Drosophila melanogaster: one gene and its partners. The protein of the gene in region 3 interacts with the protein of the main gene of each other region in a pairwise test. Each region holds a gene or a part of one and is shown on either strand. Other genes may lie near its edges.

What was found.
Region 1: the proteins of CG2278 (region 3) and Frq1 interact in a two-hybrid assay, tested with the Drosophila melanogaster proteins (one large-scale study listed by BioGRID).
Region 2: the proteins of CG2278 (region 3) and CG6276 interact in a two-hybrid assay, tested with the Drosophila melanogaster proteins (one large-scale study listed by BioGRID).

What each region holds. Positions count from the first base shown.
Region 1 is NC_004354.4:18,153,342-18,157,095, reverse strand, and holds the start of Frq1 (frequenin 1), read right to left. Parts: upstream 1,728-3,754; 5' UTR 1,364-1,727; intron 1-1,363. UniProt on the Drosophila melanogaster protein: Ca(2+)-dependent modulation of synaptic efficacy. Also plays a role in axon terminal morphology.
Region 2 is NT_033777.3:15,318,362-15,322,115, forward strand, and holds the start of CG6276 (uncharacterized protein), read right to left. Parts: upstream 1,709-3,754; 5' UTR 1,553-1,708; coding exon 1,466-1,552; intron 1,405-1,465; coding exon 79-1,404; 3' UTR 1-78. Other genes in the region: CG44040 (uncharacterized protein), read left to right, coding at 2,064-2,246; ear (ENL/AF9-related), read left to right, coding at 3,057-3,243, 3,315-3,754.
Region 3 is NC_004354.4:8,168,594-8,172,347, reverse strand, and holds the start of CG2278 (uncharacterized protein), read left to right. Parts: upstream 1-2,081; 5' UTR 2,082-2,451; coding exon 2,452-2,858; intron 2,859-2,927; coding exon 2,928-3,382; intron 3,383-3,453; coding exon 3,454-3,754. Other genes in the region: slpr (slipper), read left to right, coding at 1-766.

The DNA of each region.
Region 1 (3,754 bases), about 10 Mb from region 3:
TCATAGAAACTTATTAAGCTTATAAATTTATGGCCAAATAAATCTTTTTTAAATATTTCAAAAAGACAATAACAAATACAAGCACATTAAAATGAAAATATTTGTGTTTCAAAAACATCGAGTTTTGTGAAACCCCAAAGAAATGTAAGGACACATATTTAAACACGATAAAAGCAGTTAAAACCTTTAAACTTTAAAGGATCTTGAAGTCTATTTATGAGGAATATCTTAAAGAGTAACATCACTTTAAAATGGCTTACTATAATTGAATATAATTGAATAAACGTTTGAAATAGCATAACTGGGCATTTAGTGGCCACATCTTGCGGTATCAAATATCCCAGTTAGCAGATCATCAAATGGCGGCAGATTGCATCTATTAAGCCCGGACAGATTGGCCAATTTGGTTGCAAATGAGCGAGGCGGACGGATAAGATCCGTCCTCAATTCGGCTATTGCAGCTATTTTCGTGCCAATTCCGGAATTTGTGCGGACGTTTTGCCCATGGCCAATTAACAAATAATTGATGCAAATTAAAATGCATTTTGTAGCGCCGTGTTTCGATTTGTTCTCTCCCTTTATTTTGTCACTCGCAAAAAAAAAAAAAATGGAAAAGGATTGGGGGACGAAAAAAGAAACGAGGAAATGACACGCAAGGTGAGAGTTGGGGACTGCATTTGTGATTACGGACGGATTGTGTGCGGATGATTGCGGCCATTGATGGATGTTAGAGGGGAATGGAAGAGGTTGAGGGGCTGGGGATTTTGAGGTGCCTGCCCCCCAAGTGAAAAATGAGAAAACTGAGTCCTTGGAGGTTAAGTCTAAGCGTCGCGACACAAGTTCGCTGGGCTGGGAAACTTATTTTTGTTTACATAATCCTTCCACGTTGTCTCGCTGCCCAATCCCCTTTCGCCCCGCCTCACCGCCCCCGCGTTTATTTTATATATATATATATTTTTTTTTTTATTTAGCGGCAGCTGCTGGACCGCAAAACGTAAATTTGGGTCAAGTTTTGTAAGCATAACGAATGGCAGAACCAAAACCGAAACCAAAACTAAAAACCCCAACCAAACCGAAGGCATCCCATATGCATAAATGCGAAAGTAACCTTCGTCTTGCCCTCTCTTTCGCCTCTCAAGCTATCTCTTTCCCTGTCTGCCTGCGGGTGTGTGTGTGTGTGTGCGTGGGTGTGTGCGTGTGCGGATCCCTTTTGTGTAAATTAATCTTTGGCTGCCGCACAAAAGTATGCTACACAAATATAAATAAACACTTGATCCCTTTGTTGATTGTTTCTTTTTGTTTTTTGTTTTTTTGTTCTGCGGCACAACTAATGTTTTCATTTAATTTTCGCACTTTTGCTTACTTTTTTGTTTGTCGTATTTGTTTCGTTTTTATAATTTATTATTTTTGCTTTGTTTGCTTGACGTTCGTATTATTTAACCGAAAAAAAAATGTCAACTATTTTGCAGGATTGGAACTTGGAAAAAAAAGGAAAACAAACCAACTATTTAGGTAATGGCTTTATTTTGTTGTTATTGTTGGTTGTTTGTTGCTGCCACTGGCGGCTAATGTTGTTGTTGCCGTTGCTGTAGTTGTTGTCGATTTCCGTGGACCGGAGAGCGCGCTTTGTCCTTTTGTTGTTGTCGTTGCGAACCAGCGATTTGATTGTAAACTTAAAAACCTGCCGAGCTGCGTTGCGTTTGTTTGGCGGTCAAATCAGCGACTGAAAGCGCTCTGCACGCTCCACGGCGAACGGAATACGGAATATGGAATACGGCGGAATGTGCGGCAGTACGGCCAAACGGCTGGCTATATGTGTGTGCGCTATCAACAACTGAGAACTTTTTTGGTAACATTCTCAATGGGTCGTGGTGAGTTCGAGTTGGGCACCCCTTCTACCGCCCCCTTTCTGCCATCACTTCGCTTAACACACTACGGTACTCGCGACTCATAACTGACTTATATAACGCACACATATGCAGGCATTTCAGTGAACTCACCACTCGAAACGATGACGAAGGCGCAGGCACCGAAGCTTTTCACCACACTCACCCACTCACACGCTCGCTCTCCCGCTCTCTTCTCACGCGTCTCGTTGTGTGCGTGTTGAGGCGCCTCTGTGTGCGTGTTAAAAGCTGCAAGAACTTACAACAAAAAAACTCGAAGAGTTTAGCAGCTGCGGAGGACCAAAAAAAAAAAAAGAAATGTAAGAGGAGGAAAACCGAAAAGCCAGCGCAAAAATGGGCCAAAAACGGGGACCCCTCGTGAATATTGAACTCCATGGAAGCGAAAATGGCAAACCCGTGGACACCAGTTCTGCAGCGGGAGCCATCGACAATTACCAGAAGCTGGCAATGGTCTTAGATAAGAGCCCAAATCGCCAAAGAGCTGGGAAAAGTCGAACAAGAACTGGGACAATCAGCCAAGCAGTTAGCGATAAATTTCCCCCCACTTTGCAGCACACAGCGAAAATAACAGTACGGCCCAATGGAAAGCGACGATTTTCCTACAATCGAAAACATTTTCCAACATTTAGTCTTAAATTTAGTTTAGTTAACTTTTATTTATTGAAGTTTACCATCATCGTTGGGTTGCCTTTTGTTTATTGGCTTAATTGTTCAATTTAATAAAAGTAAATAACAATATAACAAACAAAAAAATAAAAGTTATTGTATTGTATTGCAATTAACCACAAGTAAAAGAAACTTGAGCAGATTATCCCAAAACCGAAGTTGCATTTTATTAAATTCTGCGATAAAATTAGCTTTTCATCATATTTTCATCTCCCTTTCATTATTAGCTTAAATACATAAATATTTAAACGTTTTAAGGTTAATTCGAATAGGTCGATTAATAAATTCGAAAATGCTAATAAAACGAAGTGTATTTTGTAGTTTACGACCCACATTTACCATTAAAAAATGCTGTGTTTATTCATTCAGATGGAAATGGTCGATTTATCACAATCCAAGGCAATTCCCAATGTTTTTCAGTTGCAATTAAAAAGAGATAGTTTTTTTTTTTTTTTTGAATCAGACGGATTTGTGTTTGCTTTTACTTCGTGTGTGTTTTTGTGTTAGAAAATATGTATGCAAATATATACATATATATAAGATCTTTAATGGCAATATACTTGAAAATACTTATATAAAATTATGATAATTTTCAGCGAACTTGCAACAATATAAAATTCTCAACGGTTTGAACATTCTTTCCAATTCTACGAATACTTCGCCTTTTTTCGCTCTGTGTAGCAGCAGCAGTTGACGGGGAAAAACTTTATCACCAGAGCGCTAGATACGCGAAATCCTAGAGGCGGGGGAAAGTGCGTACGAGCGACGGGCGCACCTCCAGAACGAGTCCTTCTCCCCCCAGACATCCGACCCCCCCCCCTCCTAAATTTTCTTCTTTTTTTTTAAGGATCCCTACGCTATGACGTGGCTGAGTAACAATCCGGCAATCCAACAAACGAACAAACAAACAAATACATGGCATAACACGATAATAATAAAAATACAAACATTTGCCATTGCGTGTCCCTCAATGACGTAACCCCCCCTGAAAACACACAGAAAGACAAAGACAAGTAGAGGTGGTATGGTGGTGGGTGGGGGGTGGGGTTTTGGAGTTGGGGTTGGGGCTTCAAGGCGCCCCAATGTGGACGGACAGGGAGGGGCCAGTGAAACCACATCCAAGTGGGTGGGCATTTTGCCGGTACGAAAAGCGCTAGTTGCTGGCTGAAAATTTACATTTT
Region 2 (3,754 bases), on a different chromosome or scaffold from region 3:
AAAGAGAATATTAAACAAAATCGATACTGGAACTGGGTTCCGTTTGCGTTAAGCGGAAGGTATACACAGAGATCAACGCTAATCCGGATACAGGTAGTCCTGCAGGATGTTCTGGAAGGCTATCTTTATCTTGCCGCGATCACGGCCGTTCAGCTTTTGGATGTCGGGCAGCAGGCTCATCAGAAACATGGCATCCGGATCGGTCTTGCAGTCGCACAGCTCCGCACCGCCGTTGGACACGGATCCGCCGGACGCGTTGTTGGCTTCCAAACGCAGAGGAAGCGCTGACGGCGGCACCTGTGGATGTCCTCCATGCATATGGTTGTGCCCATGCCGTTGACTCAAGTAGCTACTGCTACTGCTGGCACTAACACTACTACTGGGCGCCATCGGGGTGGCCACGGCCGCAGTGGATGGTGTGGGCAGTTCCGCTTCGGATAAGCCAGCAGTTCCTGGAACACCTCCTCCTCCTCCGCCTCCGGCGTGCGTTGTAGTGCTAACCAAATCCACGGGCTTGCTGAAAGTAGGTCGCACAAACGAAATGTTTGGATGGGCAGTCGGCTGTGCGGAGTAGTTGACCCCGGCCACTGCTGCAGTTGGAGCTTGGAGTTCCTGGGAACGCGGACGAATAGCGCCACGCATCTCGTCATGGTAGGTGCGCATTTGGAGGCGACCCGGAAGCATTCGGCTGGCGTGTGAATGCTGGTTGGCATAACGACGCTGGGCCTCCGCCGATGAAGAGCTAGAAGTAGGCGCCATCTTGTGTAGGTCCTGGTCATCCTGTTCATCCTCCTCGGGCTCGTGCGCCTCTTGTTCGTAGTCATCCACCGGCTCCTCGCACTCCGACTTAATGTCGTTGCCGTCCAACTGGCCGTGGTAACGACTGTTGCGCTGCTGCTCCTCCTCCATGATGTCATCCAGCTCGGAGTTGTTGTGTTCCGCCTCGTCAAAGTAGTCCAGATAGTTGTCCAGCTGCTGTGCAGGTGGTGACTGGTGGGCGGAGGGCGTGGGCTGGCCACCAATACTGCTGCTGCCCGGAATGGTCACTGAACGCTCACGCTGCATACGACTAGAAAGGTTCGAGAGGTGTGCCAGGGCGTCCTGCACCTGTGTGTCCAGCGATTTGGGCTGCTGGTGCTTCTTGCGTAGATACGGATGCAGAAAGAACATGCGGTCGAAGTAGGACCAGCAGGGTGGCACCTTTTCCTCCAGATAGTTGGTGTACTCTCGTCGGAACGAGATGCGCAAATTGGTCCACTTGGCCAGACTGGCGCCCGGATTCTTTTCCAGCTTCAAATCCACCTCGCGCCAAAAGTTCTCCACGTACGGGCGGCAAAAGTAGTATTTGTGCCTCGGATTGTAGATGGCCTCGTCGCGCTGCACAATTTCGATTAGTTTAAAGACCTACAGAACAACAGAAATATGTGAATCAAATCATTTTCAAATTGCATATCCATGCAAATACCTCCTCCGTTAGCCAGCGGGATGCACTACAGCTGGTGTTGGGATTGCTGGACACGAACTGGCTGCCCGCGAAGTCGGTCGTCATCATGGGTGGGCTGTGGCTCCAAGGCAGTCGCTCCGATGGATTCAATTTTTGGCTGACTTATCCAGCGTTCGCCATAACTTTTGCGAAATATTTTTATTGTTTTTCCCAAGTGTTCTTTTAAGTGCTGTGAACCAAACAGGCGGCCGAACTGGTTCCGGATCACAGAAGCTTTTGCTGACTATTTTGGTTTATGCGGGTTCCTTAAAAACAATGATCATGCAATATAAAAATTTCCCATATATATATCATCTTGTCTGAATCCGCGTGCTATGCTTAAAAGCTTAACCTGTAAGTGGCAAAAAGCGAAATTCCATGTGTTGCTATTTCTAAACAAACACAAAACACATTATTTAAGTACCACGCAGTGTTTGCCGAATTGTTTCTTTTCTCTTGATATTTGGTACATAGGCGGAATTGAAGCATTTGTGTCAATATTTGCAAATCTAAAAATGAAAGGTATAAAATTGAGCAACTATCCCCGGGAAAATATCACAGTCACAAAAGAGTAATCAAGATGAAGTTCTTCGCCATTCTGTTCCTTCTGTGCGCCATCGTTGGATTCGCTGCATCCTCCACCTCGACAACCACGACGGAAGCCTCCTCTGATACTTCAACCACTTCGGCGGCACCATCCCCAGTTCCGTGCGGAAATGGGCCCCAAGGACCATGTGGCAAGAAACTATACTTTTTCTACTAAGAAACAAATAAAGCACTCTATTCTTTAAAAAATGCATCGAGTTAAAAATCTGAATGAATTTAAACTAGATATATGTACATATTTAAAACTAATTTCACGAGCCACCCTAGAAAAAGTAAACGCAACGCATATTCTAGTATATTTTACCCGACTCAAGTGTATTTTTTGGTGCCCCGAACTTTGGTCACACTTTACCATTTTGGATTTTATTTTCTGTGTTTTTCCAAAATTTACTTCGATTCTGGCTCCAAGCTTTTACGTTTTTTCTGAAAATTGTGCGCATCTCCATGTGAATGCCGCACGGCGCGATAGTAAGTATAAAGCGTGGCTGGTGGGGGCATGTGGCTAAAGGAAACCACAAACACGGCGAAAGCTTGCAACATGAAAAGTCCACATTGTGGCACACATTCGCTCACAAACAATAACAAATTGAACGCAAAGCGAATCATAACAAAAAACGTCGGTTATCAAAGGATATTCAAAATGTGGTAGCTAGTGCGGGCATCCTGAGACCGATTGAAAGGTTTCCAAAGCCAGGCGCAGACTTGGAGGACGTGACCTGCCACAGGATTCGCATTAGAAATCACGCATGCACACTGAAGCGAAAGCAAGGAGCGCAATACTTGGCTAACACCTCGTTTGGCAATCCATTGGGCCTTTCCACATAACTGGCGATCATTTGTTTACGTCGCATCAAGCTTAAGTGCTTGCACACTCGAGTTGCATTGGTTTTGGCGCGCTAATACGTAGCATCTTAATTCACCACTTAATTGCAGGCAATCACTGGAACTTGATGCCCTACCCACAGGCATGGCGGTCAAGGTGCAATTCGAAATTGGCCACACGTCGAAGCTGCGCAGCAAGAAGACACCGCATCCGCAGGCCTTTACGCACGACTGGGAGATCTACGTTCAGGGCGTGAACAAGGCGGACATCAGTGCTTTTGTGGAGAAGGTGGTCTTTGTGCTGCACGAATCCTTTCCGAAACCCAAACGAGGTAAATGCGGCGATATATCATGGGAGTAGTTCAGTCGGATTAACTCTGTTACCCGAATTGTTTATTTGCAGTGGTCAAGGAACCGCCGTATGCCATTCAGGAGTCCGGCTACGCTGGCTTCCTACTGCCTGTTGAGATTTACTTTCGCAACCGAGACGAACCCAAGCGCATTGTTTACCAGTACGACCTGGTACTGCAGTCCACGGGTCCACCGCAGCACCACGTCGAGGTAAAGACGCACATTTTCGAGGCGCCGTCGGAGGAGTTTCGCACGAAACTTATGCGAGGCGGTGGAGTGCCAGTGTTCGGAGCTAACATCGGTGCCGGCAGTCTCGCCCGAACGCTTTCGCCCAGTGTTGGCAGCGGTGAGACAGCGCACAGTAATGAGATGTCTGGTGTCAAAGCCAAAGGCGTACCAGGTACAATATCCATGAACTCGGATTTAAACACCGGCAAGAAACACAAGTCGCGCAGCGAGGATCCCGGAAAGAGCAATGCCTTCTCTGCCCTC
Region 3 (3,754 bases):
GGAAGGGGAAGCAGAGGATGAGGACGCGGTGGCGGCGGAGGTGGACACAGCAGATGCGGATGCCGACGATGAGTGTCAAGTGCCCGCCAGTCAGATGCGCCAGAACTCCACCACGTCGCGCAAGAGTTCAGTGACCTTCCAGAGCGTCAGTTTCGAAGAGCCCGATTTTGTGGCCACGCCGCGAACGACTGCCAGATCGGATCTATATACATCCAGTGCCTCAATTAGCTTCGCCACCTACCGCTCCGCCTCGCCATCGCTGTCCTCATCGTCCACCACTGCGTCCGCCTCACCGTCCATTGCTTCTACGGAAGCCGTGAACGGCTATCACATGCAGGAGAACTCCATACTGAATACGCGTCGGATGCAAGATGTTCAGCCGCATCCCGATGTCATTAAGCTGCGGGCCCAGGAACAGCGCCAGCAGACCAAGAACCAAAAGAAGCAACGGCCCAAGCACATAACCAAATCCAAGTCTGTTGAGGCGCCAGTCGAGGGACAGCACCATGAACATGATGACCACAATGATCCCCAGCACCAGCATCACTCGGCTGGATCGAGCAAAATCCGTGCCCTTTTCAATCTCTTTACGCGCTCGCGAAAGAAGTACAGCAAGCTGGCGGAGCACAACATGGTCGGTGGACCCGAGTTCTGTGCCATTGATCCCTATCAAACCGATTTGGCGATGGGGGGCAGCAGTCGCTCTTTGAAGCGCAAAGGCAAAAAGCCGCAGACGCAATCCTGCGAGCAACTGGAGCGATGCTAAAGTCCCAGTTGTGCGCCGTGCTGCAGTGTTGCTGTTGGAGTTGGCCGCCAGATGAGAACCGCCTAATTAGCTCATTGTTTTATATTAAAACTGTAGACTAAGTCAGACGCAAAGGAAGAGCGAAGAGATGAAACAGCAGGCGAGGATTAGCCATAGCTAATGTGTGAAATTAGTAGGGCCCAGAGATACAGATACCTATCCGAATTCTTTCCGTCTAACGAAATCATAGAACTAAACAAAAAACCCCTCTGTCCGCGGTTGGCATTTCATAATAACCGAATTGTTCCTAACGAATGCAATATGTTGTGCGAAATTCACAAATCAAGTTAATCCCTAATTAGTCCAGTGATTTGTTTTGTTTTTTTTTTTGTGCCAGAGGAGTGGCTAGAAAATTGCAATGTGTAGCACAGAAGTGAGGACGAACTTTTGAGGATCAAACGGATAGATAGACTAACGCCGCTTGTACGTAGACAAACAGACACGGAGAGAAAAAACGTGTGCATGGGCCAATGGCAAAATATATTGAACTAAACCATATACATAAATGTGTAACAATTGGATTAACATTAAGCTATATTTATACCGATGCGTAAGTGCGTCCTTACACATTACACATTACACACATCTTAGTTGAACTAAGTTCTAGTTTTGTAGGAACTCGAACATTTTTTTGGAGTCCTTCCTCCTTTTTTTTCACCCCCTCAATCTTTGTAAGAGATATTTTCCAAAATTTCCATCGCTTGCGGCATTTCGTTTGGCTTAAGTACACTTAACGAAAAGTTGCGGTGCACATTAATTTTAATTTGATATTCGACTTTTTTGGTATTTTGAGCACAGTTTTATTTACATACATTTATTATGCAATCGGGTTTTCCATTTTATTTATTTATGATTTATTTCTACAAAAAAAAAAAAAAAAAAGCACAAGAATAATCGCGCAAAAGAAAGAAAGAAAAAAAAACCTGTGATCAAAAAACGATGATGAAACGAAAAGGAAATGATCATTTTTTTGTATTATTTTTATGAAAACTTTCAATTGTATATTTATACTTCATTTTACGATTTGTTCATTCTACGTTTAGTGCTCGATTCTATTTCAATGTACTTTGTATATTATTGTATTTTCCATGTTGGGGCCAAGCCAACCCCAAAAAAAAAAACAAACAAAAAAAAAAGAAGAACCAATACCCAGAAACAGAAATCCGACAATAAAACCAACTTAAGACAATCTGCCGACCAGTTTTGATTGCCTCGCAGCTAAAAAGCACAGAGAAAGTCCAATGATCCAAACTAACATTTAAATTACTTAAACTTATTTAAAGTGAAGCTATCTTTTAATGTCAATTTAACGTGAAAATGACTGAATGAAGAATGGATTTTCTCTGTGCATGAGCACAATCCACAATTTTGGACAGAGAGAGAGAGAGAGAGATTAACCTATTAATATAGGACGAACAGAGTCTCCTTGGTATGCGGTGGTTAAACTTTGGTGTTGCCTGCGGTTACTATCCAACTACTCTTGTACCCCCCGCCTCCGACTATCCGATTACCACCCGACTACCGACCATATCCCAGCCATCGTTCCCCCAAGCCAGTACCAACCATATGCCGTAACTCAATCATGTCTCATATCCGCCTTGGAATGCTGCCGATCGGACCGACCAGGCTACCAGGGCAATAGCAAGATGGATAACTGGCGTCCGGGTGCCACCAACATGCCGATTATGTCGCCATCGCCATATCTCCTCAGCCGCTTCACCAGCAACGTGCCACTGCCGACACTCTATGCCGGCGATTCGGCGCGCAAGCCGAAGCTTTCCGTGATCGAACTGTTGCTGTACAACATGGCATCCCTGCTGGCCGGAGTGGCGGCCGGATATGATGTTCGCATGTCGAACGTGTCGCCAGTGCATCCGACTTTGCTCAGCGAAGTGCCAGCTCTGAAGGCGGCACCAAAGGCAGCGATTACCGGAACGGAAGAGGTGGTGGAGGATTCACTGCCGGAACAGATCCTGGAACTGGAAGTAAATGTGCCACTGAAGCAGCAGGAGCTCAGGGAAAGCACGCCACGTAAGATAGTCACACAAGCAAGGTAAGTGCTAAATGAATCCGAAAGAGCGCGAATTCTTTATACACTATATACTCTATTCCTGCCCCCCAGATTTGGTGGCATTGAAGCTCCGGTCAGCAAATCGCAGCCCACATCTCTGGCCCGGCGCATCGGAGGCAGTCAGCCGTACTACACACCTGTGCAGCGGACACCACAGCATCAGTTGCACCATCACCACCAGCAGCAACAGCAACAGCAGCAGCACCATCATCATCATCCTCACCAGCCACAGCCAGTTCCATCGGCCGTGGTGACAACAGTAGCGCCATCACAGCCGCCAGCCGTGGTGAGTGCACTGTATGCCGGAACCCAGCCACCGACGCCATCGCCACGGCGTAAGCTGAGCAACAGCAGCTTTGGCAATGCCAATCCTCAAGCGGATGTCTTCGAGGAGTTTCGTGTGGGCGGTGGCATTGGTCCACCGCCACTTTATGCGCCAGCCGATTACCTGAGAAACGGACCCAGTTACTCCAACGATGGGGGAAACTACCGAAATGGTTACTTCGGTGAGTGGGCAAGCCATTAGACATTCGAGGAGAATCCTCCAATTTAAAATATACTAATTGCCCGTTGATAGGTTCCAATTACTTTCCATACCGGCCGGAGTTGAACTACAGCTACGAGCGTGACTGTAAATCGTATCCGGACTATTCCTACGACTATAACCATCGCCTGCCGGACTACTATGACTACCAGTATGAGGCGCCACCAGTGGTGCCGCTGCCCGTGACCGTTCCCTGTCCGGTGAGCCAGACCCGTACACCACCACCGCGGGTGCCACAGATGGGCGTAAGTGCGGCCGGACACCGACGCACTCCCTCAACCGTTTCGAACAATTCGAATGTACTGCTGGAGCACGAAGAGCTGCTGTGCTATGA